4 linked regions of the Alligator mississippiensis genome follow. The protein of the gene in region 2 purifies or fractionates together with the protein of the main gene of each other region. This does not show direct contact. Links are inferred from orthologs where the notes say so. Each region holds a gene or a part of one and is shown on either strand. Other genes may lie near its edges.

Region 1 (7,299 bases), on a different chromosome or scaffold from region 2:
TCTTTAATACTGCAGAAGAAGGAACAACAAGAACAAATAGCTGGCAGCTGAGCCAGGCAAATTCAAATGAGACATGAGTCATGTTTCTAACACTGAATGTGATTACTGGAACAGACTCCTGAAGGAAGTGGTAAATTCCATGTGGCTCTTCTGCAGGGATGGAACAGGAACATCTGCCCCTTGAGCCAGAGACTGTTGTCCTCTGTTTGTGCCTGCCAGCCACTAGAGGGAGATGAGGCACAAATTTTGCATATGGATGTTCTAGATTTTGGCTGACAACAGAAGCATTTACAGAACCATCTGGTTCTAAGAGGAATATACTTGAATGGTAACAGAAGCTACAGCCCCCTTTACATTTGACCTATATTTCTCTGTCTCCTCCAGCCCACCTTCATCCCATCTGTTCTCATCCCAGTTCATCTCCTCTACACTCATTCCACATCCCAGACTCACTCCCTATTGACAGCCCAGCAAGAACAGTTTGTCCACTGTCAGTCACTGTAACCACAGTAGCCACTCAGCACCAATGCGGTCCATAGCTGGTGTGAGAAGCAATAGCATGAACATGTTTTTGCTGAGCATGTGACCTGTGGGGTTTTTTCAGAAACTCATAACTTGGTAAGTCTTTGGAGGCACAGGAACTTGTTAACTTCAATAGGACTTCACACATACTGGAATAAATGCAATATGTATCATCTCTCGGTATTTAATTTACAAGTAATTATATGCTGGATATTTTTTTCCTAACTTGATATTTAGCCTCATCCTTGGCTAAGAGAAAATAAATATAAAGTCTAATTACTGTAACATTGAATAGATATTGAAGTTACTGGGGGTTGAATCTACTCAGCACTGTTCTGCCGCCATGCAGCATTTCAGAGAAGCATATCCTTAGATAGACATCACTTTCAGTGTTTTTAAAACTCTCTCCTTTCTCAAACAACAAAAAAAGAGTCTCAGCACCTGACCATATCTAAGTCAGGGTTCCGAAAAGTACGGCCACATTCGAGCCACAGCTTTTTGGAGATACAGTGTCAGCTTTTATCAGCAAAGCTTTTATCAAGTTTTCTTTCATAACACATCAATCTGAAACTTGAGTTCTACAATATCTTAAAAAGAAAGAAACAGAAGAGATCTTTGAAATACTGAAAGTATTCTTCTTTGAAGTCTTCCTATTACTTGGATGAAGCAGGGGCCTTTTCCTCTTGATGGAGCATAGGTGATTACACACCAATATGGTTTTCTCTGATGTGGGAAAAAAAAGAATATCTAAAGTGAGGATCCTTGAATGAAGAGCATACAATGATGAAAGGTTTCAAATACATCTTTTGCACACAGACATACTATAAAGTGTGTGTGTAAAGCATCTCCCTGGATTTTTCAAAAATTGGTTAGAAAATAAAAGGATTTGAGGTAAGACTCTCTCTTCTTCCTTCTCTGCCTTTTTTCACTAAGATCAAGTCTTTACTATGTAAGCATTGCACATTTAGCTCCCGTATTCCCCATCTCAACCCATCACTGAGCTAAGCAGGCTACATCCTTACTATGTAACTTAGTTGTGTCCTTCCCCAACCCAGCCTATAACATGTAGTCACCCTTGTCTGAGCCTCTATATTTCCTTCTACTCCTTCAACTGGGTAACTTCTTTTTAGCATTCACTAATAAAGTAAATCTGAAAAAGCTTATAAATGCTTGTGAAATTTCATAGCACAGGCAATAGACTGAATAGAAGCCCAGAGGCATGAAACTTGACACTTAATAACAATCCTGGTAGGAATTAGGAGTCAGTAGAAAAGAATAAGGTTTTCTTTTGCTTTAAATATTATTTTTAAACTATTTTATGTTTTATTGATAATTCTGTCACTGAGCCTGACTTTCAGTCAAATAAAAATAAGAGATCTCTTTCCCAAAGCATCTACAATATAAGTTAATACAGCATGTTCTGTATCAACACGTTGTTGAGATTCCCAGTATTTCTTAATAATTTCTCATATTTTGAGCTCCTTGGAGTTATCTGTGTATGTGTGGTTATCTTTATGTGTTTTGTATAGTGTGAGGGATGTCATTAATAAAGCACAGAAAGGGGAGGGGGGAAGTGGTATTCTAGAGCAAGGATTCTAAAAGTGAAACATCTTCCCGATTATAATGTCAGCATCTGGTGAGTTCAAGGGTTTCCCAAATTCCAGTGGAGAAGCAGTGGTCATTTTAAAAATTGTGTGGTTTTCTAATTTACAGTTTTGCTACAAGCAAAACACCTGGGAGATTCTAAAAAAGCACTCTCCTTGTTTTATGATTCTAGAAAAGGGCTCCCGTAGCATCCCCCACTGTGACTCCTTAATGTCACAACCCAAAGTTGTGGTTTTTGTTTGTGTGTGCTTCAGCACCGCTAAATTATTGTTCCCGCCTAAATTGTAGCTTTCTTTGCATGGTGGAGTTCTCTGCTGCTGGAGAGAACTCCGGTGCAACGGGGGATTTCCCGCCGTTTTGCAGCTTCTTTGCATGGTGCATTTCTTTTGCATACTAGTGATGCACGTTGCAAAGGAGTTCCCGCCATTTGCATTTCGATTCGCGCCACATTATTGGCCGATTCTAAATGTAGGCACACGTGGCGGCTAGCTATTGGCTTGCTAGCCGTACAAAAGGCTTGAGTGGTTTCCGCCCAAGTTGGAGGACTCCACGAACACCAGGAGGAGGAGACTTCACACTGTGTGAAGATCTCTAAGCGCTGCGGATCCTTACGGACCCAACGCTTTTCTCAAGCAGGCAATAGAGGCTTAACGATCGAACCCACGGAGCTTTAACTACTCCGGAGGGGAAACAAAAGAACAAATCGCCTCTAGCCTCTCCCCATCGCCGATCGCAATCCAAGACATATCCCTTTCCTGTAAACCCAATTTTCGAACCCACGGAGCCTAAACAACTCACCTGTAACTGCTACTTCTCCATAAGCCACAGTTGCTTGTGTGGCAGCTAGCTTGCAAAGCTAATGCTTTTTTATGAGTTTGTCAAATATATCTGTATAAGTCTCTGTATATGCTACTGGTATGCATGCCTACATACTACCAGCATCATAGTTTGGAGGGCTGGCTTGTCCAAAACGATCAGTTAGGAGTTGGAAAATGGCAACAGCACCTTGAAGAGTCAAAGTCTGGCCTGGCAAAAAAAAAATCATGGGATGTCTAATGTCCAACCCCATCTTCCACTTCCAATCCCACTGCATGCTATACACTTTGAATGAACTTCCCTCTCCCCACATGTGACAGTGATGTTGGTTTAGACATGACTACTTCATACCAGCGAAAGCAAAAGTAGTTATACGAAAGCAGTGACGTGTCAGCATAAATCCCCTTGTCTAGACAGGCTGCAAATGATTAAAACTTAATATACAACTCTGACTGAGTAGGGAACATATCGACAGTCAGCTTCATGACCGTATTGTAACCAACAATTCGCTTTGAGCTTGGCGTCTTGGCCACATGTATAATTAGCTCCAGCCCAGGTAATTACATGCCAACTACCTAACTTTTTTGCAATTGCGATTCCAGGCAGCAGTTAGATACAACACAGCTAAGGCCAAGCCTTCAAAAATTAGGCATCGGCCTCTCTCACCACCTGACATCAGGAAATCGGTCCAAAAATAATCAGATTTTTTAAAGAGATGACAAATATGATTTTTTCTTTTTTTTTTGGCTCTTTTGATGGTTGGGTGGCCCTAGCTCTGTGTATTCCCCTGGCTCTCTACAACATGGAGAGCTATGCGTCCACATGAAAATAAAATCAAGGAAGGAAAGCTCAGATTCTCACAAGGTTGCACTGCACCACGACTTGAGGCAAATGCCAAATAATGCAAGGCTCAGGCCAGGCATGCCCCAGCCATGGATACTTTACACTTGGCCCTGGGGGCTGCAGCCACCTAGGCAGGCACTTTCAACAGGTCTACATTTTTTTTTTAAATAATAATAATTTATTAACAAAAAATCCACAACTAATGTATTAACTGACAACTCATAATAATTATTGTAATAACTGAACATTAATGTTTATCCATGACATGACTTTGGGAATTGCAAAGGGGGGGGGGGGAGGAGCTCCCCTGGGATCCTCCACTCCCATCACTGCCTTGCTAGGGCCCCTGGGCTGTCAGCCCTGGAGTCCCAGTGCGCATGCGCAACCAGGAGCCGAGCGCTCGGGCAGATTCGTTCAAATTCCTTTAGGAACGTGGAACTCGGGGAGCGTTGCTGGTCGGCCACAACTCTATAGCGAATCTCCCTTTTGTCAGCCGCGGAGCTGTCACTCCGGGCTAGATTCCGGTCGGCCCAACGAGAGGACGTGGTGCGGCGGAGGTAGTGGCCGCGGGGCCTGGCCGGCGCTGAAGGAGACTCGAGGACACGGGCGGGCGTTGGGCGTTGCGGCCTCTTCCCCGCTCCATGCGCAAGATGCTGCTGGCCGCGCTCTCCCGCGTGCTGCAGGGCCCGGCCGCCGCCCGGACGGTGAGCGAGGGGGGACACACTCGGCCTGTTGCAGAGCCCGGCAGCCCGGACTGATCTATCCCCCTGCCCCCGGTCCGAATGGTACTGCTGGGGGGGGGCCGCGAGACCCCCCCGCCATACGGAACCCACCGAGGGGGGGAGGGGACGTTGGGGGGGCGTAGCGGGAGTGACATGGAGGGGGCGGGGCCTGGCTTCGTTGCCAGTGGGGGTCTACGCGGGGGAGCGGGTGTCCAAAGGGGTCCTTGCGGGGGAGCGTTGGGCTGCCCATGGAGCGCCTGTGCCTGAGGGAATGGGGGCATTTCTAGCAGGATGAAAGTATTTTGAAAAAGATAATATTAGGGGGAAAAGCCTGCGTAGAGGTAGGGCAGTGGGGCTAAGCCAGGAGGCCGCATCCTCAGGAGCCTCGAGGTCATCTCCAGGGGGCCTCGAGGTTCCACGCTGGGTTGGCGCCGCGTCGGCGGGCGCTGTCCTTTCTGCTTTGCTTGGTGTCCCCTCTTGGCACTTGTGTTTCTAGCCTTTGACCTCTGCTCCCATCCCTGTTTTTATTATTATTTGTCCCAAGCATTCAGTAACACATCTCTAGTGGACCCCTGTGTTAGAGGGGGTTATAGTTTCTTTGGCGGGCCTGGCCCAGGAAATCCGGTGAGGTGTTAAAAGGCCATTCATCGTACGACCGCCATGTGCCACCTCTACCCACTGACATCATGTGGGAATGTGCTCTGCACATGCCCCCCTGCCTTGCCGTGCCCTGTGCGCAGTGTTGTTGGTGGAAGAGTGCCTCTGGTATTTTTCCAGTCACAGCCCCTAGTGCAGATTGGCACGTGGGCAGCGGCTGCCTCAGGTCCAAGGGGGCGCCATGAGTCCAGCCAGGTTGAGAGCTCTTGGTGGAGATACCACAGGCTTTTGTAAGCTGCTTCCCCTGGCGACAGACGCCGTAGCTGATGGACACTTAGAGCTTTGCAAGTGCTGCTCAGACGGACAGCGAGCAAGGCCGACATCACTGGCCCAGGCTGAAAGGTTGTGCAGAGTCGTGGCGCTTCTTTCTAGCCAGTGAAAATGAGAATTGTAAGAAGGCACTGCTCAAAATCGACCTGCCGCACAGGCAGGCGATGCGAAAAGATCCCTGTTTCAAAAAGGTGCAGTGCTCTGCTGTGCTTCTTACATTGAAGTTGTTGTGGGCTGGTTGTTCTCTCTGGGGACTCTTCCAGGCTCTTGTGGGGTTATTTAAAAAAACAAAAAAGAAAGAAAGAAAGAAAACATCATCTCGGATCTCTCCTCTTTCCTCCCCACCTGTTCTCCTGTATCATCCCACACTCCTAATGTTGTCACTTCCTTTGTTGTCTCTTTTCTGTATTCCCAATCACTTGGCTTTGATGCTTCCTTCATTTTTCTCATGCCCTCACCTTCATGCCATCTTGTTATGCTATCCATGCTTGTGGGATAGTTTCTTCTTTCTGCCATGTCTTCTCCAGATTTTTGCTCTTCGTTCTGCCTTTTCATGCTGTATTTTTCCCTTCTGTCAGCTTGTGTTTGGATTGTTCAACACAACAGGTAATTAGCATATTCTGTCTGCTGAACCTGGTTTGTAAAATGAGATATAGATTTGCAGTGGTGTGTTATATGCGCTACTCTTGCAAGTGGCTAATAGGAGCAGTAGTGTCCTCCACTGTAGTGACAGAACTAGTGTGCCACGTGGCTACTAGTTTGATGGTTTGGTTCATTTGGAACTAGGTGAGCATTTGTCTTTGGCTACTTCCTACAGTTGTTGCAAAAACTTTTTTGAAAGGCTTTACAGAGTGTGTATCCCAGCCAACCGTTCCTTCACCCCACTTGAGAGTGGTAAAGGGAAGTAAGGGCCAAAAGTGGGGGTCAACTTGGGGCACTTAGAACATTGTTGTAAACGGCAGGAAAGTGTTTGAGCTCCTTGTGTTTGGCTACTCAGTCTGGCTGAAAGCCGTATTCAATACATAGGGAGGTTCTGCTAGTTTAAACAGAATGTCAGCGCAGAACAATATGCAGCAAGGTTCAAATACTGAACTTGTTAATGAAAAGTAAATTATAAAGGCTGGAAAAGGAGGTTCAGTCTTTCCTGAGTGCTAACATCAGTAGTTCAGGAAGTCCATGCTGATCTTTTAGTTTAAAAGTCCCTCTTCAATCCTAGCAATTGTTAGTACAGGCAGTCCTTGGACTTACCACAATTGGTTTCTGGAAACCGGGTCTTAAGTTGAAATGTTGTAACTTGGAACCAATTTTCTCATAAGAAACAATGTTATAAATGGGGGATTGGTTCCTGAACCAAGGCCTGATACCCTATGTTCACCAAAAATACCCCAGAATTTTGTACTCGATCAATTATAGATGAGTGACATAGTTACATTAATGTATTTATATTGTAAATAGCAATCATATTGATTTGGAAGGACTTCTTTGAGGTGACTGCTGGACTTTTTGAAGGGCTCTTGGTTGGACTTTTTGAAGGGTTCTTGGCTGGAGTCTTCTCAGGAGTCTTGGCTGCAGGTTTTTCTGGAGTCTTGTCTGCTTTCTTAAAGAAAGTGTCCAAGGAAGTTTGGACAGATGTTCTCCAGGGAGATGAGTGATGCAGCGAACTTGTTCACTGGTGTGGTATCACATCAGATCAAGCGTTGTAAAGTCGAAACTGACGTTAGAAAGTTGAAACAGGGTGTCAGTTTATAAATGTTGCAACATTTCGAGTTGCAACATTTTGCACTTACAAGTCAAGGACTGCCTGTAATGAAAAGAAAGGAATTGGAGGACTAAGGTGACAGATGTTTTGGCAGGAGAGTCTAAA
Region 2 (6,835 bases):
TATAAAAGTCCCAGAGGAGTTTTCCACTAGATTACCTCAAGAAAGAGAGAGGCCCTCCTCTTGTTTCTGCAATGCTCAGCATGACATGGACAAATATATCCAGCAGCAATATATTCTGTGGTTGACTCCCAAGGCAGACAGTGTGACAAGTTTAATTGCCTCAGACACTCGTCTGCCATGACAGAAATGAAGTCTCTGAGTTGTCTCTTTCCCTTCTCAAACATCATGTTTATGATAATAGCATACCAATAATCTTGAGGGAAATGTTTGCCTGCTTCTGTTAATCCTACAGCCACAAGAAGAAATTTAGTCCTCTCTCATTCTTTTGGTGCTAATGTGCCAAATAACTTAAGGCTCTTGATAAACTCTACTGACAAACACATTCAAGCACTGGTGGCTCAGGCCAAGAAATATCAGCAAACAAGACCTCAATACGAGCTGAACAGCAAGAAAAAGAAATAGTTAAAAGTAAGAAATTCTTTTGTACTGGAATACAGAGAACTAGAAAAACATTAATGACAACAGACTCTTATTCAGCTGAACTGTACCACAAACAACAGGAAGAATAAAAGAATATTCAGCAGCACTTCACTAACATTCAGAAAAAACAAGACACTTTGTTCACTGCCACACTTGGAGGCAAACCTGGGTGCAAAAGGAACATTTAGAGATCAGTATTTAGACTTGAGTGTGTTCTAGGTTCCCTCCTCACTGTCATCTGCCACCAATGCCCTCCAGGATTAAAAAAAATAAAAATTAAATTAAATCAGAGCTGCGATCCTGTTACTGGTCAGAACCTTGCAGTGTGTTTTCCTGGAAGAAACTGTTCTCTTTTCTACTTTTACAAACATATAAACTCTCACAGGCCACCCTATTTCTTTTGTTTTAAAGCTTAGCTAGTGTATTCCTTATTCACTATTATATTTATTATTGATTTTAATCTATTCCATAACTCAAATTTAAAAGTAGGTTGGTTGAACAATGTACAAAAAAATCATTTAACCTTTGTTGGTCAGTTTCCACATTAACCCTTTGTTTGTGAAAACCTTTATCTAGATCAGCAGCTGGCAACCTTCTCAAGCCTCAGGCCAGAACAACCTAGCTCTGGTCCAGTGCAGGCCAGGTGGTTTCTATGGTGCATCAGCAGCAGCAAATTTATCCCTGTGCCCATACTGGCACCATGCAGCTAAAAGCTGTGTCTATGCCACCAATGCTTCTCCCAACCCCTGCTTCCTGGCTGAGGCATGGGCACAGCTTCCAGGTGGTGGGAAACTGCACTGGAGCCAAGCAGCTGGAAGATGTGCTCATGCTGCTGTTGCCACTTCTGTGCCACAGCTGGGAAGTAACAGGATGTGAGGAAAAGAGGGAGAAGCAGCGGCAGCAGCATGGACGCAGCTTCTACCTGCCCATCCCCGGTACAGTTCCCCATCAGGGGAAGCTGCATCCACGCTGCAGCTGCAGAGAGGCTAGGGGCTGGGGGAAGAAGCAGCAGCAGCAGCAGCAACAACAGTACAGTTGGAAGTTGCCTGGCCCTGGTGCAACTTCTTGCTGCTTAGCCTTGGCATTAGCACAAGCAAAGCCCTTGGGCCATATCTGGCCTGCAGGTGATATGTTGCTAACCTGTGACCTAGATTGCAAGCTCTGTGGAACAGGACTCTGTTACATGCACGTGTAGGTCTTAGTGAACTCAACACTCAATAGGACGGCTTCAGTTCTCTGGCCCTGCAGTTATCCCTCTCAGCGCACCTGAATTATGCTGTTTTCTTTCTTGCACCCAGTACAAGTTTTCATCTTACCTTAAAACCAAGTTGAGCTGCTTTGATAGCAGCAACGTAGCCTCCAGGACCAGAACCAATGACTGTAACATCTGCGTCAACTATGGAAAAAAAGAATATCACTTTTAAGTTACTGTTGTTTCTGTAACTTTGGTTTACTGCAGTTTCATTGTGACAGCCTACAATGCTCCACACACTGACTGCCACAGGGCAAAAAGAGCACTAGTTTTAGAACTAAACTAGAAATGCTCCTTCAGTTCCCAAAAATGATTTCAGAGCCATCAAGACTTACCTTGCTCTGCAAAGGTCCTCTGCGGCACTGTGCAAACCCCTGGAAGGCCATGCTGGACTCGGCTAAAACAGCTTCTCTAGAAAGGAAAAGCAGCATCGGCAAAGTTAAGCGCCTCGGCACGGCACTGGCAGCCTGGGCCACCTAATGCAAGTCTCTCCAATTCCCAGAGCCGCTGCTGCTGCACACAGGACTGACCCCGGTTATTTGGAGTCAGGGAGGAACATCGCAGTCAGAGCAATACCGACCACGGGGGTTTTGCCTTCCTCTGTAACGGGGGACGAGGGCCTCTACCCAGGCCCTACTGAGCGTGCACTGACAATATTTTATAGAAGCAGCACGCCCGCAGCCTGGGCTCTCCTGCTTTTGCTGCGACACGTTGGGGTGCTATGACCTGTCACGTGAGGGCTGGCAGTAGTTTTACACAGAGTTTAGGTGTGAGGTTGGCCTGTAGGGCCCATCCTGCCTCAGACAGCAGGTTGCACCCAACGACCTGTGCACACCCCTCCCGCCCCCTTGGCTTTGCCTCCCTGACCCCGAGCAGCCATGACCCTGAGCAGCCTTGACCCCGAGTGCAAGGGCGAGGGCCAGGGCAGCCCCCCCCAGGGAGCCCCGCGGCTTGTACCATTCGGGGGGGGGAGGTGGCTGGGGAGGGAGAAGCAGGAGGGGTCCCACACAGACCCCCCCACCTAGGAGTGAGACACTCCATGCAGGGGGCGGGGAGGAAGCACCCCCCGCCCGGGAGTGGGACGGTCCATGCAGGGGCGGGGGGGGCCGTGCGTGCCCAGGGAGGGGCTCAGCGAAACGCAGGCAGCGACCCCCCCGCCCCACGCGGTACCCGGGCGAAGGCCCCGCTGACACGGCTCCAACCCTGCATTGCCCCAAGGTCTCCGCGGACTCGCGCAGGCGCACTAGACCCGGGGGGCGGGGCCGTGGAGCCGCCGAGGAGGGCGGAAGGAGCCTGTCGCGGTCAGAGCGCCCCCTGGCCTGGCGGCCCGCGTGGGGGCGGGGCCATGCAAATGAGGCCCTGGGAGGGCCCGCGGCGGCCCCGCCCCCCGGCTGCGAACTCTCGGGGCAGCGCCGGCTACATGCGGAGCAGTTTCGTGTTGGCGAGCGGGGTCTGCGGGGGCGAGGCCCTGCACGGCCTGTGCAGGAAGAGAGAGGAAAGCCAGACGGCCTCTCAATTAAACCTCGCCTCTACTGGTGTTTTGGGGGTCACTTATTTTTTAATGATGCCAGAGGCATCTACCAGTAAGTCCACCGAGGAGTATGCGGAGCAGTCGACTAGATGCCAAAAGAGCAATACTATTGTCAGGGGAAAACTCTTACTAGAAATCATTTTTTTAAGGTAGTCTTTAAAATGTCTGTGGCAGTTCAGTCTCGGACTTACGCCGACAATTCAGCCTTTGCCAGTTCTCATTCTCTGCATACGACAAAGGCTGCCAGGAGGTGGCAGTGCTTGATTAGCTCCCTGAAGGAGGTGGACCTCGTTATATTTATACAATCAGAAAGTTAAGGTTGGAAGGGACTTCAGGAGGTCATCTAGTCCAACCCCCTGCTCAAGGCAGGACCATCCCCAAATAGATCATCCCAGCCAAAGCTTTGTCTAGCTGGGTCTTAAAAATCTCCAAGGATGCAGCATCCACCACCTCTCTGGGTAACCTGTTCCAGTGCTTTACTACTCTCCTAGCGAGCAAGTTTTTCCTAATCTCTAACCTACACTTCCCTTGCTGCAATTTGAGACTATTGCTCCCTGTTCTGTCATCTGCCACCACTGAGAACAGTCCAGATCCATCATCTTTTGAGCCCCCTTCAAGTAGTTGAAGGCTGCTATTAAGTCCCCTTCCAGTCTCCTATTCTCTAGACTAAATAAGCCCTGTTCCCTCAGTCTTTCCTCATAAGTCATGTCCCTCACCCCCTCACCATTTTTGTTGCCCTCTGCTGGACTGTCTCCAATTTGTCCACATCATTTCTGTAGTGGGGGGCCCAAAACTGAACACAGTACTGCAGCTGTGCCTTCACCAGTGCTGAACAGAGGGGAAGAATCACTTTCTTTGATCTACTGGCAACACTCCTACCAATGCAGCCCAGTTTGCTGTTAGCCTTCTTGGCAACAAGGGCACACTGCCGGGTTATATTCAGCATGTAACCCTCAGGTCCTTTTCTGCAGAGCTGCTGCCCAGCCAGTCAGCCCCCAGCCTGTACTGGTGCATGGGATTGTCCCATCCTAAGTGCAGGACTTTGCACTTGTCCTTGTTGAACCTCTTGAGATTTCTTTTGGCCCAAACCTCCAATTTGTCTAGGTCACTCTGAATCCTAGCCCTACCCCCCAGCATATCTATTACTCCCCCCAGCTTGGTGTCATCTGCAAACTTGCTGAGGGTGCACTCTGTCATCTTCCAGGTCACTGATGAAGACATTGAACAAAACTGGCCCGAGGACTGACCCTGGGGCAGTCCACTTGATACTGCTGCCAACTAGACATCGAGCCATTGATTACTACTCTCTGAGCCCAATGCTCCAGCCAGTTTTCTATCCACCTTACAGTCCATTCGTTCATATGCTTCCTTAGCTTGCCTGCAAGAATGTTGTGGGAGACCGTATCAAAAGGCTTGCTAAAATCGAGGTATATCACATCCACCAGTCTCCCCACATCCACAGAGCCAGTCACCTCATCATAGAAGGCAATCAGGTTGGTCAGGCATTACTTGCCCTTGGTGAATCCATGCTTACTGTTCCTGATCTCTTTCTTCTCCTCCAAGTGCTTAGAAATGGATTCCTTGAGGATCTGCTCCATGATTTTTCCAGGGACTGAGGTGCGGCTGACTGGTCTGTAGTTCCCTTTCTTAAACATGGGCACTATGTTTGCCCTTTTCCAATCATCCATGACTTCCCTTGATCACTGTGAGTTTTCAAAGATTATGGCCAATAGCTCTGCAATCTCGTCAGCGAACTCCCTCAGCACCCTTGGGTATATTCCATTTGGCCCCATGGACTTTGTCACAACCCAGTGATTTTAGTGCCTCGGCACAGTGGAATTTTCCTGCCACATGAGAGTCTCTGTGCACAGCAAAAGTTTTCTGTTGCAACAGAAAACTCCGGTGCAAGAGAGTTCCTGCCATTCGTATGCAAATTTGTGTCCCACTATTGGCCAGTTCTAAATTATTCCTACGTGGCGGCTAGCGATTGGCTTGTTAGCCGTATAAAATTCTGTGCAACTTCCGCCCAAGTCGAAGAACTTTGAGCACGTTGCAGAGTGACTTTGAAGATTCCTGACTCATGGCTGAGCTGATCTATAGCCTGATCAACTATCGATTTGTCTCCCCGTCGCCGAGCGCCATCCCTCGACGTACCCTTTCCCTGCCGGCCTGGTTCGTGTACGGATTCGCTGGCCTGAGCCTTGCCAGCTGGAGCAACTCGTGTAGTTGTTTAAGCGACCGGACCACCTGCGTTGCGGCTACTAGCGGCGTAAGTAAAGCTTATTTGCAACCAATATGCTTTGTCTGCCTCTCCATTCACCAGCCCGCCCAACAACCGAGTAATTTCTAGATCACCTCAAGTCGGCCCTGGCCGTCTGAGACATGGTGACGAGGATGGGATCTAAGGGCATGGTGATGGAGATGAACCTAATTGGGTGCTGCCCTTGGCGCACCGGGATCCGCTGCGTGGAAAATGCAAACGATCTATGGGCGCATATCGCCTACCACCAGGCGGTAGAAGGGGATAAACGAAATATTGACGGCTACTTCTCCGTAAAGAAAGAAGAAGTGGTCATAAAAGAGTGGAGAACAAAGCTATCCCTTGGGGAGTTCGGGTGTATAATGGGGAGCGACCGGGTCTACTGTCGACCCCCGGAGGAAACATCGACCATATCCCTAGCTGGGGTGAAGGCGCGGAAGGCAGAAAAGCTGACCCCTGCTCAGGAGTTTGCTCAATGCACCCGATACCTGAGGGAAGAAGGGGAACCCACCCCAACGGACTGGTTCAACTGTCCGGATTTGGTGCCTGGGTCGCGGGGTCATGAGCTTCTCGTTCAGCTCCGGGAGGACCTGGAGACCAAGGGCCATCACTTGCCCAGATGGGGTTTAACCAAGTGGAAAAAGGGAAAAATGATGAATGTGTTGTTCCATACAGTAGCGGGTCTACTAAGGGAATATGCAAATTTGGAGGTTCAGCTGCATACGGTGGGTAAGGAGTCGCTGGAGTGGAAGGCAGAGAGCTCCAGAGCGATGCTTATCAATAGCGCCGGCCGCATGATGCCGCTGATAGAAAATGGCGCTGAAAGAAACGCGAGCCATCCGGAAAACCCGGAAAGGAGGGGCGGAGTTTCGGAAGACCCGGCGGGGATCTGCCTAGCAACTCCGCCCCCTGAGGTGACGTCGTTCCCAACGGCCCCGCCTCCTTGCCATGGGGAGGGGGCAATGGGAGGAGGGATGTACCCAACGCTCCCGCCTGAAGAATTTAACTCTCTCTCCGCCGCAGCTCACCCGATAGCTGTGATGAAGCGTGTTGCAGATGAAGAAGGTACCACGCGTACCACTGTTACTTCTCGCACGCGCACCCGACCAGAAATACAGGAACTTTGCAGAGAATCTAAAATAAAATCAGAAGAGACTTTGGCCATGTGGTTGGGGCGACTAATAGTAGAATTCGGATCTGACATCTTAGACAAGGAAGAAGCGAGTGCCCTGACCCGACAAGCGGCGTGGAGCGGAGGGCGTGCTACTGATCTGAACGTGGTCACGGACAGTACACACTGGCCCATCCCACT
Region 3 (7,339 bases), on a different chromosome or scaffold from region 2:
CAGGTTGTCAGTGCCACGTCAGACTCTCCAATGCCATGGCAGTCCTTGCCCACTTCCTGCCAAGTATCTGACAGCCTGACTTGGGAACCTTGAGCCAGATCTTAACTTCCCAGCCCCACCACAGTTCCCACCAAGCTGGGTGAGGCTGCCAGCTCTCCATGCCACATGCTGCCATCCCAGACAATCCTAACCACCTATGGCTCCCCCTCAACACCACTTCCTCACACCAGGCCAGATAAAAATCCTTTTGTGGAAGGGCTTCATTTTGAGGACAGACTAATAAGGCTAAGTCTGCTCAGTTTAGACAAGAGAAGCTCCCGGGGGAGGCAGGATCAGGGTTTAACAAAATGCTAAGTGGCAAAGAAAGTCAATAGGGATTTCTTATTGACCATCTCACCAGTCAAGTATGAGGTCACAACATAAACCGACAGCCTGCTCATTTCAAAACCAATACAAGGCAGTTCTTCACCAAGCGGGTCATTCAAGAGTGGGACTCATTACCATCAGATGTGGGAGAAGCTGAGAGATTGGCCAGATTCACCAAGAGATTGGACATATGCTTGGGGGAAAAAGTGGCATCAGTAGCCAACAAGTACAAGAGTGAGTAGCACAGCCTCCTAGACCCTAAATGCTGAAGGCTGCAAGTGAGAGAAGGAATGGAAAAACTTCTGGTCATACCCAGGTCACTACCCCTTTTGACATCTACTCTCTGCCACCGTACGACACAGAAGACTAGACAAAATGGACTTAGGGTCTGACCGAGGCTATGGCAGCTCTTTAGGAATTGCATGGCACCACATAAATCCAGCAGGCTGGACTGGGCTTGTGGGCCATATCTATATGCCATCCCTGCTCCAAAGTTCTTGGGTTATCCCGGTCTCATCCAGGGTTATATAAAAGTACTACAAAGACTGAGTTACAGTGTGATAAGGTCTTGCTTTACCCACCGGATGACCTCCTCAGCTGTGATAAATGTTACATCTGGCCACACGCATCCTGAAGAATGCCTGGCACAGTAACTATGTAGATCACATACACAGAGTAAGGACATATGTAGTGTGTGCGCATACGTGTGTGTACATGTGAATGCATGTGTACATTACACACAACAAGCTGTCGTGAGCCTAAGCTCTTTTCACCAATTGCTGGGAAAGGACCTACAAGCAGCAGTGCAGAAGAGAGATCAGAACAGGAAAGACAAGGGAGGGGGAGCTCATGCCTGCACACCTCACAGGGCTAGCATGGCACCCCTGATAGGATCGCAGTGCACACCAGAGTACCCTCAACGCTGTAGCATGGACTCCCTACCAGCAGGAGAGCAAGGGATAGGGAAGAACAAGGCACCAACAACTGTTGCCATAACAGCAGATGCCCAGAAGGGCTGGACTGGCAACTTCCTTGCTTTGCCTTTGAAACACCCTTCTCCCAGCCTGCCTCAGAGGTGCCAGGCAGGGAATGACACATTCCTGGGAGGTCACACAGTGCTGACATGAAGCATAGGTCCCAGCCAGGCAGCTCCATCAAGGGCAGAGCTAAACCCCGAGAGGTGGTTAATCCTGCTAGTCTGAAGCCAGAGTAAAGACACACCTTATAGATGAACTAAATAAAGTCTACAGAGACCAAGAGAGCACCAGCTGGGACTGATACTAAAGCTAGGGCACAGAAGGGAGCTCCCTAAGGGCTTGTCTGTGGGGTCCAGCCTGGGGGAAAGAGCACAGGTTCTTCCTCAGTGCAATCAAGCTCAGACAGCTCCATCCAGCACTGGGGATCTCGACACCCATGGTGAGACTAAATCCCCCAGCTTTACTCACAAGAACAGGGGTGAAAGCAGTCCCAGGGTGGGGAGGCCTTGCCTGGAGTCCTGTGGCCAGTTCTGAGCCCTGCACATTATGGAGGAGGTGGACAGGCAGGAAAGAGTCCAACACAGGGCAACAGAAAAGATCAGGGGCCCAGGACACAGGACTGATAAGGATGGGCTGGAAGAGCTGGGGTAATCAAGTCAAGTTAAGAGAAGCCTGGGGGGGGGGGGGGGGGGGGGGAGGGGGATTGGATCCCAGCCCTCGAGCCCCCTGAGGGCAATGACAGAGGATGGACGGGTATGGGGACAGGACGGGGAGCAAACAGCCTCAACTGCAGCAGGGGAGACTAAGGCTGGCATCGAGAAGGGACGTGCAGGCTGCCCAAGGCCTCCCAAGTCTCTGTCCCTGGAAGTGTCCAAGAGCAGGAGCAGCAAACACTCGACTGGGAGGGTCTGGCAGGCACATGCTGCACAGAGCAGGGGGCTGGACTCTGCCAACTCCCCCCCAGGCTCCATGACCAGGGACACTTGCTGTCCTGCCCCACAGCTGAGAGCACCAAGGTCTGCCCAGGGCCAGGGGGCCCAGTACAGCAGCAGCCCTGTCTGCCTGCCTGGGGAGCTGCAGGGGGGGGCCAGGGAAACCGGGAATGTGGGGGATGCCCCACGGGGGACAATGCGGGAGGGGTTAGGGAACCTAGGAGGCTGACATCTTCCCCCCCCAGCCCATGCAGGGGTGGGGGAATGTGTGGGTAGGGAGGAGGGACCCGGGAGAGCGGGGTGTGGGGGATGGGCAGGGAACCCAGGAGGCCAGCAGGCGGGCGCGGCTGGGTGATCCTGGGTCGGCCCCGCCCCCAGGCGCCGGCGTCCAACCCCCGCAGCCCGCCAAACGGGGCAACCAGTGAACAGGCAGAAGTGCGCCGCGCCGGCTCCCCATTGGCCTGAGAGGCTGTCGCTCGGCGCGCCAGCCCCGGTCCACTCCCCCGCTCCCAGGCGGTGCCCGGACAAGGGCAAGTCGAAGCCGGGGACGGAGGGATGGAAGGGGTGCACATGCGGCCGCCGCGGGTCCCCGCACCGCGCCACGCCGCGCCCCGCCGCTACAGTACCTGGCGTCACACGCGTCCCCCTCGTAGCTCCACTCTGACAGAAGCGCCCGGTCAGCGACAACTACCGCCCGCGCGGCCGCCCTACGCCTCCGTCACCGCCCAGGCCCCGCCCTTTGCGCCTCGCGTCACCGCCCAGGCCCCGCCCTTATCTTTGCGTCACCGCGTAGGCCACGGCTCTACACGCTGTGCGTCACCGCCCTGGCCCCACCCCCTACACGCTGGCTTGCCCCGCCCCCTACGTACTGCCCCGCCCACAGCGTGACTGGCAGGCGTCCAGCTGCCAATGGGCGGGGAGACTAAGGGGCGTGGCCAGGCAGTAAGTGGAGGGAGCTAGCGCGGGAGGGGTGGGGCCTGGATATTGCCTTCGTGGCGGGAGTCTGTTGTGGCGCGTGGACCCTTCCTCTTGATCCTGCTGAATGTCGTCCTGCCTCAGTTTCCCCATGCGGTGTGGAGAGGAGGCTGGGCTCCCACCTTGGCACCTCAGTCCCCCAACCTGGAGCTACAGACAGATGTCACCTTAACCCCTGTTAAGGAGGTGGGGTCTCACATGACCCCTTCGGTGACAGAGGGGCTGTGATGTCATAGCCACTCAGAGTGATGTCACCGGACAAGCCACTCATTATCCTTAATGCTGCCCAGCGCAGAGGAGATGGCAAGTGAGGCAAGAGCAGAGTCTGGGCAGGGGACACTATGTCCCGGCCTGTGTCCCCTAGATGGGAGAGAAGCAGCTGTTGCTGGGGAATCTCAGAGCCCCCCAGGCTCATTCCCACATTCCTGCAACCCCCGCCCCTGATAGCAGGGCTCTGTCGCCTCTGCCCCAGGGGACTCCAAACCCCTGACTGCTGCTGCTGTGTCCCTGCCCCCAGCTCCTACACCAGGAGGGGCAGGAGTCACTGTGGGGGTCCCTTTCAGTGGGACTAACCCGTTGAGGCCAGGTCTGGGGAGAAAGGAAGGGAGGTTTTATTGAGGGAGGGGTAGAAAATCCAGCCAGGGAGGCTTTGGCTTCATCCCAAATCACCAGAACTGGAACTTCCTTTTTGAGGTTTGGTGGCCCACGGAGGCCTCATCCTGATCTCTGGCGCTCGGTTTCTCAGTGCTGAGGGGCAGGGATGTCTTCGAGGGATCTCTACCACACATTGGGGTAGAGTTAAGGACATCAGAGCTGCCAGGGACTGCAGAGAAGACCCTCAGTCCATCCTGCTCAAACTCCTGCGTCACGGGGCGGCAGAGAGCGAAGGCTAGAAGGGAGACCGCTGGGTCTGAGCAGGGTTTGTTCCTCTCTCATATGCAGCCTCCAGCAGTTAGGATCTGTGAAGCTCCAGTTCAGAGGCCATGCATCTCACTGCCGTGCTTTCTGCCATGAACAACTCCAATCCCTCCATGAATCTGGCTGGACTCTCAGCTTCCCCCATATCTGCTGGCAACAAGTCTCACCCTTGAATGACCCGCTGGGGGAGAAAGAACTGCCTGATGTCTGTTCTAAACCAATGACCTGTGCCTTTCATGTTGTGACCCCTCGGTCTTGTTTGGGAAGAGACAGTCAGTAATAAATCCCTATTGATTTTCTTTTTGCCATTTAGTTTTTTGGAAACCCTGATCCTGCCCCCCTCAAGTGTCTCTTTTCCAAACTGAATAGGCCTGCCCATCCATCCACCCACCCCACACTCTATCTATCCATCTATCTGTCTACCCAGCCCACACTATCTGTCCTTCTATCCATTTATTCACCCCACACAATCTATCCGTCTTTCTATCCAACCCACACTATTTATCTATCCGTCTATCCACCCCACACACCCTCTCTCACTCTCCGTCTCTCTCACACTAGCCTCCATACACTCATCTCATAGGGAAGCCCCTCCATTTCAGTTATCATCCATGTTGCCCTTCTCTGCACCTTCTCTAATTCTTCTGTCTCCTTCTCGAGGTGCAGGCACCAGGCAACAGGATACTTCCTGTATTATTTGTAGTTCCCTTCTTCATCCTCCCTTTCTGATGGTTACTGAATGTAGGTAAGATTTCAGATGCTAGGCATTGTTCACCAGATTTGAGCTGCAGTGAGGATCAGGAAAGGATCCCCACATCCTCTGCTTAGACAGGCGGGAGAAGGTGGAGGGGCTGCTTTCCACTGCAGCAGTGGGCAATGAACCCCCCCAGCCAGCCCTCGTTCCCTGTGCCAGAGGCTCCCAGCTTGTGCATGGGGCTGGTCTGCGGTGTTAGGAGGAGCTGGGAGTCTAAGATCCCCCTGCACCTGTGAGCCATCAGGATCCATCCACCTACCGCCTTGCACAGCTCGGCACCCTTGGGGACAGTGCCCAGTGCCTTCCCTGCCCCTGGGGCAGGGGCTGAGATGGGAAGTGCCCAGTGCCAGAAACTCTCTGAGGAAGGAAGTCAGAAAGCTGGGAGTTCCCCAGGCTGGGTGTGATGAGAGAACAAGGAAAGCAGCTTTCCTATGGCTCCTTTGCATTGGTACCAGGCCCAGCAGATGGGCATGGGCATGGGAGCGGCCTGCCTGGGCAGGGTAGAAACCATCACCCAGTTGAGCTGTGCATTTCCCTCCTAGCTATGATCCAAGCACCCTGCAGCGCTTTTCATCCTCCAGGACCCATCCCTTCCCTCATTACCCTTTGCCCTGCTCCTGGGGACATGGCTTCTAGGGGGAGCAAGGGCTTGCACCTATCCTCTGGGGGTTTCAGGAGTGGGTAATCTGTGGCTGGGGGATTGTTAGCTCTGCTTTCCCTTATCGCCTATAGAGAAGTTCAATCAAGAGCCTGCAATCTGGGGCACATTTGCTGGTTTGGGGGAAGGAGAGGTCTTGGACCCACCTCTTTGGGTTCCCAAGGGCTGGTAGGGGCAGATGTTTGGCTGCAGTCAGGTGGGGAATGAGGACACAGCTGTTCATTACGAAGTTCACCTGGATTGACCAAGCCAGGTAAAGAGCGATAAAAATTGCTAATGAAAGTAGTGGGGGGAAACAAGGAGCAGTAGAATTCTGGCTGTGTACCAGAGCGGCCAATGGCAGCAGCGAGGGGGGGCAAGAATGCAGTGTGGGATGCTTGGAGGCCCGACCAGATCTGTTGCAGAAGGCTTGGTATCTACCTATAACCGCACTGGATGGAAGTAGCCCTGGGTTTCCTGGCCACATGGTTGAACCATCCCAGGTGGCTTTAAACCAGTACAACAGGTGTGTACAGTTGTCTTCTGTGGGTTTCAACTGGATTTAAATGGGGCTAAGTGTGTCCAGGCCCTGTGGCTCTATGCCCGGTGGTATGTGAATGCTGTAACTCCACATACATATCAGAGCCCCCAGCCTTAGTCAGAGGCTAAAATGGGTGTGTGGGTTCAGCTGACTCTGCTTCCAGGTCCAGCAAGGGAATAAAGGGGTCAGGAGGGGCATCAATGCCAGGCTTTTCTCAGTCCAAGTGGGGGCTGAAGGGAGCTATTAAGCAGAACCTGGAGTTGGTTGGGGGACTAAACGAGTTGCTTGTTTTCACAGAGGCTTCCGCCATGCTTGCCTGGAAGGTTTCATGCTGATGGCAACACCAGTGGGTGCCTATCCAAAAGCTCCTCTGGGGTGACATATCAGCAGGAATAAACTGGAGACAATCCTTCGTGGACTAGACATAACCCCTGCGACCCCCACTGGCCCTCTGGTTCCATCTGATTCCCACAAACCCTGCTCTTCCACTTGCCATCTGGTCTTTTCTTTCCTTTCCTCTGGCTGCGAGGAAGCTGGATGCCTTTGGACACGTCAAGGGGCTTCTGGTTCTTCAGAGCCAAGAATCACCCAACCCAGAGAAGCTGGAATGCCATCTTTGGGACTGATCTGTGGCTGGAGAAAAGCAGTTAAAAAGCTCTGGGAAGGGTGACTGTGAACGCCAATAGAGAAGGCATGGCCTGGTCCACTGGCATGATGCTACGTCCCCGTGAGCTACAGCCACCCTGCAGGGATTAAGACCTGGGCATGGGGCAGGACCCATAAGGAGATGGGCAGCAGGCTGTGGGGCACTGAGAGAGGTGCCAGCAGGGCACTGAGGCTGCTGCCAGGTTTTGCCTGGCCTGGCAGTGCCATGGGCACCAGGATGCTGGCTTGATGCCCTCAGCACTGCCTTGATGACCTCAGAACCTTCTTGATGACCTAGATACCTTCTTTATAATCTCAGTATCACCTCTATGTCAGCACTCAAAGCCAAAGCTCTGGGTGGGATATTCTCCCAATGTCAGCCCTGGGCTTGAGTGTAGTCCTAGTTTCAAGCCCAATCACAGCCCTGCATCAGGCAAGAGGCAGGGAACCAGCTTCCATCAGCACGGAGTTTCCCACTTTCCAGGCTGCAAAGGAAGCCCCCAGGAGCTGCCAGCATCTGTGGCCATGACGCCAGTGGGGAGCCCGCCCTGACATCAGTTCCCCTGCAATCACTGCCCGCACTGGCCCAGGCTG
Region 4 (7,952 bases), on a different chromosome or scaffold from region 2:
ATCAGTAAAACAGTGTGGAATCCTACCAAGTGTGACAGTGTTTTGCAATCTCAAATGCAAACTTCCACCTTGCTGGCAAAGCACAAGCATGGCTGAATCCCTCTTTAGCTCAGGAATCAAAGCAGTTGAGAATGAATCCAATTTAAACGAAAGATGTTTTTCATCCTGGCCTGAAATACCACTGAGTGAGTGGGACATACCTCACACTCCACCCCTTCTTTGGCAAGGACAGCAGCTGCTTCCAGACAGTGTCCAACAGGCCTCGAGTGCGACACTAACGTAACGTGCTTTCCTGAAACACAGAAGCTGGTGGTGGATCAAGACAGATCTTCCTGTCAAGCAGCTCAACACTAAACATCTCTGAAAAGTTAAGTGTAAGACCTCACCTTTTTGACCTAGCTAAAGTCTAGCGTACTCAGCATCTGACTTGCATGTCAGGACTAGCCTGAGAAGTCTGTTACTGGAACTCTTCCTGAGTTCGACTACTTAAGAGCATCGTTCTTGTGCTCTGTGTATTGGCAGAATGGATGGGATCAACTTGCTATGCCACGAATAACAAGTTGCTTGCATGCTTCTACAGCGAAGTTATACACAACTGACAAGAGGTTTGAAATGCTGCACATTAGTGACCTTTCTTGATATGCTGAGCAAAGAATCTAAGCTCTGGTTGTGGGTGTTGTTTTCTTTTCACTCGTTTCAGACAGTCCAACTGCACCAGGCCTAGCTGGCCACTAGAAAGTGTTTTAATTGTGGGTCAAGATGGCCCTGCCCTAAATTACTTTGTCTGTGAGTAATAAGTGCTAAAAACAAATAGCTGGTAAAATCCAAATGACCAGAAGTCTTAGTAGTGTCCTTCTGAATAGTTCCCTGTTTTGCAAGAAGGAAGTACTTTATAAAGGAAAGCACTTAATGAGTTCAATTGGTCTAGCAAGGAAAGAGAACTTTTACAAGTGAGAATATACAGAATAGTGGTATTCTGAACTTACCCGGCCTCTCTATTTTGGCTTTGCCAATAGGAACCAAGAAGTCCTTTGATTGCGTTTCCTCCGACATCTCAAAGGGAACTCCATACATCAGTTCATGTTCCAGCATCACAACTAAAGATCATTAGAGTGGTCACTTGGGTTAGTCTGGAGGTCCCCCAATCCAGGTGCCACACAACATTTTCCAAGACTGTCAGGGCCCACGATGGTGGACTCCTCCTCTCGGCTCAATTACAGGAGGACAAGCATAACGCAGCAGCACGCTTAGACAAGCCCAGAGGACTCGAAGCTTCACTTAAGTAGCTATTAACTTGTAGCACTGCACAATTTTGAAATGGCTTCTTTGACTGATCCCACAGCCAGAGGGTGATTTCACACTAAGCATTTGGAGATGCAACATTTGGGGGGTAATCAGAAACCCAGAACTTGCTCCCAGACGGCTTCCACATCTGTTCCACAGACACGCAAGTGACGGCTACAGGACTGGGTCTAAAGGGCCAGGGCTATGCTTGTCATCCTTTTCCTAGGACAGCAGTGCACAAGCTGACCGTCGGGGGGGTGCCCATATTCTAGTTCAGCGTTTCCCAACCAGTGCCGCAGCGTGCTGGGATGGAGCCAAGCCCCTGCCTGCTGCTGCTGTGGGTGGACACAGACAGACGAGGAGCATGACTCCAGCCCAAAACGCTGCTGGGCCGGCCGTGCGCCACCCCGCTGTCAGCATCCGGCTGGCCACACGCCACCCCCTGCGCCGTGGTGCTTCTTTATTGGGAAATGCCAGGGGGAGGAAAAGGTTGGGAAATGCTGTTCTAGTTTAACTTTGGTTTTGAAGAAGAGGTCGCGGTCAGGAGAAAAGGTCTCCAGGATTACCTTCACGATTTGAGTCCCACGCTTTAAGCGCGTTCTTCGCGGGGTCAAGGTGGAGAAGGGAAGCGGAGGGCGCGCCGAGACTAGTTATTCGAGTACAGCGGGACTTCCTGCTGGTAATTACCTGGATTGTCGTCCCGGATGGCCGACTTGAGCAGACCTCTCGCGTCTTCGGAGCTCCATGGGCTGACCACCTTCAGCCCAGGGCAGTGCCCGTACCAGGCGGCGAAGCACTGCGAGTGCTGCGCGCCGACACCGGCCGAGGTGCCGTTGGGGCCCCTGAACACCACCGGGACCGAGACCATGCCGGAAGACATGTAATAGGTCTTGGCAGCGGAGTTGATCACCTGGTCGATGGCTTGCATGGAGAAGTTGAAGGTCATGAATTCGCAAATTGGCCTCAGCCCAGCCTGTTAAACAAGGACACGGGCCAGTCACGAAGCCTCGTCCGGCCTCCTGGCGCCCCCCGTGCCCTGGGGGGGTTAACCCCGCTCCCCCTTCCCGCGGGGCTGCGGCGCACGGAGCGGGCGGTGCGCCCCCCCCCACGCCGGCCCGTTTCCGAACCGGCTCCTTGTGCGCAGCGCTGGGCACCCACCATGGCGGCTCCCACGGCGATGCCGGTGAAGCCCATCTGCAAGGGAGGGAAGGCAGAGGGGTGAGCGCGGGGCAGGGGTAGGGGCAGGGGGGCGTGGGGGGGCGGGGCGGGGCGGGGGTACCTCGGAGATGGGGGTGTCGATGATGCGCTTGTCGCCGTACTTCTTCCACAGGCCGCGGCTGATCTGCGGGCGCAGGCAGAGCGTGAGGCGGGCCCGCGGCCCCCCGCCCCCCCGCCCGCCCGGCCCGGCCCGGCCCGGCCCCGCTCACCTTGTAGGCGCCGTCGTACTGCGCCACCTCCTCGCCCAGCAGGAAGACGCGCTCGTCGCGCTCCAGCTCCTCGTCCAGCGCCTGGTTCAGCGCGTCGCGGACCGTCACCTGCGGCGCACAGCGCGCTCACGCCGGGCCCGCCGGCCGGCTCCCCCCGGCCCCGGCCCCGGCCCCGGCCCGGTACCTGCACGGCGGCGGGCGCCGAGGCGCGGATCCCCCGGCGCAGCGGGCCCGGCAAGCGGTGCAACCCGGCCCGCGCCAGCCCCCTCAGTGCCGCCGCCATCTTGGATGTGCCCTCCAGCGGCAGGGCGTGGCGTCACGCCCGCACCGCCCAATGGGCGCCCGGCCCCGCCCCCTCGCTGCCTGGCAACGGGGCGCCGCGGCGGCGTCTCGCGAGAAGCGGCGGCGGTGGCGTGCTACGTCACATCCGCTCTGGGTCGGGACGGTACGCGGCGAGGGACATAGTGCAGCGGCGCGGTGAGTGCGGCCCCGCGCCCGCCTGAGGGGAGTGGCCCTGCCCCGCGCCCCTCGCCCGCTGTCATCCCCTCAGTCTTCCCTTCTGCAGCCTCCACGAGCCCATTCCCCGCCCGCCGTGACGGGATGAAGAGGTAGCGGGCGGGCGGGCGTTCGGTGGCGCTCGCGCCGGCGGTTAGGATTTTGCCCCGAGCGGATGCGCGTGCTCCTTAGCTCGCGGGGCCGCCGAAGGGTGTTCCTGCCCAAGACAGTTTTATTTATTTTTATTTTTTTGCAAAACCCTCGTGGGTCGGATGAAAGAGGTCACCCCTACACGGGCGGCCCCACGAGCCCGGCTAGCCGGGCAGAGGCTCCCAAACCGGCTTCCCCGCAGACTCCGACACAAAATCAATGACGCATCTAGATGCTTGCTTTATTTATTGATGTATTTATCAAAACACGGGCTTGCCTGAGCTAATTGCTCCTATAAATTATTTGCTCGGTGTTACGGTGGCGGCGCTGTCGCCCAAGGGTAGCTTCGGGCAGCAAGATGTATCTGCTCCGTTTTCTTTGTGATCGCCCAAGCGGTGCCGTGGCGGGATGGATCCGTCCCAGGGGCTTTGGAGATGGCCTCTCTCCTGTCACACAGATGTTTGTCAGAGAAAATCTTTTCAGTAGATGGGTGCAGACCTCTTTATGTTTCTTCCCTGTTTAGAGTTGGTGCCATTGAGCATTTATTGAGACGTCATTGATTATACGCGTGTAAGTCGCACTGTTTTCCCAGGTCTGCTTCCCCCTCCTCTCCTTACTGTGGGGACTTTGTCAGAGGCCCTCCTTGCCCTTTTCCTGAAGAAGTGCCGCGGCCTGATGCGAAGTGTCCTCTCGCACCTTGCGCTGGAACAGAGCAGTCCCTGTCTAAAGGAGAAACCCAGGGTCTGCGCCTCCAGGCTAACGCTAGCGGGGGGAGTAAGTTGCCGTTGAGCTGGGAAGCACAGAACAGCTCTGCAGGCTCGTTGCCCCGATGGCTGGTTCTTCTCGCCTGCGCGGAAGAGCCGACGCTCTGAGTTCGTATCTCTCCCTCGGTCGGCAGTCGTTTGTGCTGTGCTGAGGCAAGCCTCCCCTTTGCCTTGTCCAGCATGACTCATCCACGCTGCCGATATTGTGTTTAACTTATTTGCGTTTTAGTGCTTGGGAAAAGGTGTAGGGTTGGACACGGGATTCTCCTGTGGCTGGGGACATGCGATGCCTGCCTTGTGTATGCCTCTGCTCTCCACGTGCAGCTGGCCTTTGGGGAGAGCTCTCACGCTCTGCCGTTGCAGTCCAGACCTTCTCTGAGCAGAAAGCACTTCGCTCTTGCCATGCTCTTCTCAAGTGGGGACACGGGCCTGTGACGGCTACAGGAGAGCAGGCTGTTTGGGTCAGAAATTGAACGCTACTTCTGTAGTCACTGAGTGGTGCAGAGCTCTGCCTCGGCTCAAGCGCTGTGACTTTACTTGCTGGGTAACACGTGCCTGGGTTAATTTGTTTCCCAAAGCTCCCACAAGATCCTTTCTGTACCAAACTGTTTGTAAGTCCTAGAGTTTAAGCCAGAGGAGACCTCTGCTACTGCCTAGCCTGGTCTGCCACCAACCCAAGTCACAGCATTTCATCCATCCTTCCAGCAGTGGCAGGATGGCAGGCTTTAATGGGACCTTGCCCTGAAGGTGAATGTTCCTGACTACCTATAGGAAGTTTTCTTTTACTTCCCTCCTGCTCCCCCCAAGTGACTTCTGAGTTCCTGCTGCTGCTGAGATACAGAATTATTGACTCATAAAGCTAGCACACAGGTCTCCACATCTACTGAGATGGACCTTCAGACATGAGATGAATAAATCAAGCATTTGGCTTATGTAAATGGGGTTACTTTTTAAGATAGATGTCCCCCACTCAGATGAATTGTAGCTGGTGTGCGAGTATAAAACTTCAGAAATGCCATGCAGGCTATTTAACAAATCTGGAATACTGAGGACAGCTTGTGAAGGCACTGCTCTCTCTAGATAGGGCCTGTCTTCAGGCAATGGAAAGGATGCTGGAAGATCAGTATAGGGAAGTCCTCATTTGTGGGTGTTGCTGCTATGCTGCCTGAATAGGTGACAGCAAGACCCAGCCTGTCTTTGAGTAGAAGCACTTAAAGACCAGCAATGCTTATAATCTGACAGATCTCTCTATTTATTTGTTTTATCTATCTGTTTGTCTGCAGGGGGAATAGACGTGAATTGTATATCCCTTCAGCAACCTTCTGTTAAACTTGGACTCCCACAGATCAAGCAACAGAACAGATGGATAATGGAGACTGGGGATATATGGTAAGTGAGCCAGTACAGATGTGTGTGCATGCTGAGAGAGACTTGGGCTTTCCAGATTTTAATGTAAGGATCCCCTCCAGTCTCTTGGCTTTGTATAGACCCAGAGAAGAAACTATGGGAAGAAAAATCTTATTAAAAACAATTTACTTACATTGTCTTTAGGTGTTTCATTTCAGTATGGCTGTGGGGCCTTTCACGTTGTTAATCTCCAGACAGTGCAGGGATTACATAAAACAGTGGGGTCAGCCTTTTTGGCAGCTGTGCTACAAACTAGCCCCACTACTTCCCCAAGTGCCGCACTGATCCTGTTCCCTGGCCAGTCAGCTGCTCTGCTTTCTGTTCCCTTCCTTGTGCTCCCTGCCTGATCTGCTGCTTTGCTTTCTGCTTCCTGCCTGCCTCTCTGTCTGCCCTATCTGCCACACGCCACACATGGATGCTGCCCAGGCCACTCGGGGCACGTAGGCTGACTTAAGACAACACTTACAATTCTCTTAAAAAGATCGGGCCACAATGATGGGCTAGGAAGTGTTGGAAAGCAACCTCCTTGATGTACAGGGTCCTGGAAAAAGCAAAATCTTCCATGTTCCTTTACGTATTTTGATGCCATTTTATTTGGGGAAAAACTATTCTTGCCTCTTAAACTGCATTTCTGAAACTAGGCCAGACTCGCTCATCTTATTATTGCTCTTTCCTTTTTTCCTCTAAGCATTCTCCTCTCTTTGGATACATCTGGCAGGCCCTCAGCCCTGGCCATGACTCAGTGACCGAGTGGGATCTGTATTTCTTCTCTCACCTGCCTTTCTGGGTGTGATGTGGGTGGTTATAGCTGTGGGCTGCCTCCAGTGCCCAGGTACCCCCTCTACACAGTCAACATTTTGTCTGACAGATGTGTCTTTTGCAAGCTGAGGCTACAGTATTGTCTTCATGGCTCCCTACAGCTGAAGCAAAAGTTGACTTTAAATGACCTTTAATTTTCTGCAAAGAGATTTGAGGCGTATTTGCTATGTTTCTCTCAAAGCATGAGACATGCTACGAGACGGATCCTTGGGCGTCTGACTCCGTCTGGTTCTGTAGGCTCAGAACGATCATCCTTTGCATCTGTTTGACATCCTGCACAATAGGAAACGCTTACCTTGCTGATGAGAGAGTCCTTTGTGCTGACAGGAAGCTTCATGCTGGCCTTAGTGTCTGTAAAGCACCTCACAATTTGCGCTGAGCTTTGGATATTCTCTCTTGTAACCAGCTGTGCTGTGTCACCAGGTTTCTTGTCTTTGCTCAAGAGTGAGGCCTTTCCTGGGTTTGCAGCTGAGGAGATGCGGTTCTTTCTTGAGCCCATTTCTAGCAGTAACTGCCATGTGCCTTGGTGATAAAATTCTCGTGGGGACTTGATAAACTCTGTCATTTCTCTCTTTCTTTCTAGATGACTGATCCAGTCACAATCAATGTGGGTGGACACATGTATACAACTTCCCTGACCACTCTCACAAGGTATCCAGATTCAATGCTTGGGGCCATGTTCAGGGGAGACTTTCCCACTGCCAGGGACTCTCAGGGTAATTACTTTATTGACAGAGATGGACCACTTTTCCGATACGTTCTTAACTTTTTAAGGACTTCGGAGCTGACTTTGCCATTGGACTTCAAGGAATTTGATCTGCTCCGGAAAGAAGCAGACTTCTACCAGATTGAACCCCTAATCCAGTGTCTTAATGACCCCAAGCCTTTGTATCCTATGGATACCTTTGAGGAAGTAGTGGAGCTGTCCAGCACACGGAAGCTTTCCAAATATTCCAATCCAGTGGCAGTGATCATAACACAGTTAACCATCACGACCAAGGTCCACTCCTTACTGGAAGGCATTTCAAACCACTTCACCAAGTGGAATAAGCACATGATGGACACCAGAGACTGCCAAGTTTCCTTCACATTTGGACCATGTGATTACCACCAGGAGGTTTCTCTCCGAGTCCACCTGATGGAGTACATCACAAAGCAAGGCTTCACGATCAGAAACACACGTGTCCACCACATGAGTGAACGGGCCAATGAGAACACGGTGGAGCACAACTGGACTTTCTGTAGGCTGGCACGGAAAACGGATGACTGATGTTTGACTCCACAAGAGCAGTGTCAGTGGCTAGCGGCTTTCTGGACAGTGCACCTGTGTGGACCTGGGTTTGACTAAACCAACAGCGTGTGCTGCTTTTTTTTTTTTTTTTGTATGACTATTTATTAATATTCATTAAGGTCTAGGGAAGTTACTTTCTCTAGCAGCTCTGTTTTTGTTTTGTCCAGAAACAAAAATGCATGTGCCTGTTCAAACTGTTGAGACACTTTTTGGGTAAAGGGGGTTCTAACAACCAGTGGGATAGGACCCTATGTGTCATTAGCACAGCTAAGTCATTTTGAAGTGCTAAAATTTGCCTCTGTTTTAAATGGTCTC

The links.
Region 1: the proteins of DLD (region 2) and PDHA1 purify together in Homo sapiens (affinity purification with mass spectrometry; 4 studies listed by BioGRID and IntAct, counting the BioPlex papers as one, with this or other methods). This does not show direct contact. The link is inferred for Alligator mississippiensis from reciprocal best matches to the Homo sapiens genes DLD and PDHA1.
Region 3: the proteins of DLD (region 2) and OGDH purify together in Homo sapiens (affinity purification with mass spectrometry; 3 studies listed by BioGRID and IntAct, counting the BioPlex papers as one, with this or other methods). This does not show direct contact. The link is inferred for Alligator mississippiensis from reciprocal best matches to the Homo sapiens genes DLD and OGDH.
Region 4: the proteins of DLD (region 2) and PDHB purify together in Homo sapiens (affinity purification with mass spectrometry; 3 studies listed by BioGRID and IntAct, counting the BioPlex papers as one, with this or other methods). This does not show direct contact. The link is inferred for Alligator mississippiensis from reciprocal best matches to the Homo sapiens genes DLD and PDHB.

What each region holds. Positions count from the first base shown.
Region 1 is NC_081824.1:319,711,527-319,718,825, reverse strand, and holds the start of PDHA1 (pyruvate dehydrogenase E1 component subunit alpha, somatic form, mitochondrial), read left to right. Parts: upstream 1-4,288; 5' UTR 4,289-4,427; coding exon 4,428-4,490; intron 4,491-4,553; exon of another isoform or gene 4,554-4,568; coding exon of another isoform or gene 4,569-4,571; intron 4,572-7,299. UniProt on the Homo sapiens protein: The pyruvate dehydrogenase complex catalyzes the overall conversion of pyruvate to acetyl-CoA and CO(2), and thereby links the glycolytic pathway to the tricarboxylic cycle.
Region 2 is NC_081827.1:28,232,674-28,239,508, reverse strand, and holds the start of DLD (dihydrolipoyl dehydrogenase, mitochondrial), read right to left. Parts: upstream 3,007-6,835; 5' UTR 2,942-3,006; coding exon 2,903-2,941; intron 2,144-2,902; coding exon 2,068-2,143; intron 1,877-2,067; coding exon 1,797-1,876; intron 1-1,796. UniProt on the Homo sapiens protein: Lipoamide dehydrogenase is a component of the glycine cleavage system as well as an E3 component of three alpha-ketoacid dehydrogenase complexes (pyruvate-, alpha-ketoglutarate-, and branched-chain amino acid-dehydrogenase complex).
Region 3 is NC_081830.1:10,102,466-10,109,804, forward strand, and holds the start of OGDH (2-oxoglutarate dehydrogenase complex component E1), read right to left. Parts: upstream 3,014-7,339; 5' UTR 2,902-3,013; intron 1-2,901. UniProt on the Homo sapiens protein: 2-oxoglutarate dehydrogenase (E1o) component of the 2-oxoglutarate dehydrogenase complex (OGDHC). Participates in the first step, rate limiting for the overall conversion of 2-oxoglutarate to succinyl-CoA and CO(2) catalyzed by the whole OGDHC.
Region 4 is NC_081835.1:892,653-900,604, forward strand, and holds the start of PDHB (pyruvate dehydrogenase E1 component subunit beta, mitochondrial), read right to left. Parts: upstream 3,010-7,952; 5' UTR 2,995-3,009; coding exon 2,896-2,994; intron 2,820-2,895; coding exon 2,712-2,819; intron 2,627-2,711; coding exon 2,564-2,626; intron 2,479-2,563; coding exon 2,443-2,478; intron 2,258-2,442; coding exon 1,972-2,257; intron 1,098-1,971; coding exon 987-1,097; intron 293-986; coding exon 201-292; intron 1-200. Other genes in the region: BTB/POZ domain-containing protein KCTD6, read left to right, coding at 5,483-5,509, 6,930-7,616. UniProt on the Homo sapiens protein: The pyruvate dehydrogenase complex catalyzes the overall conversion of pyruvate to acetyl-CoA and CO(2), and thereby links the glycolytic pathway to the tricarboxylic cycle.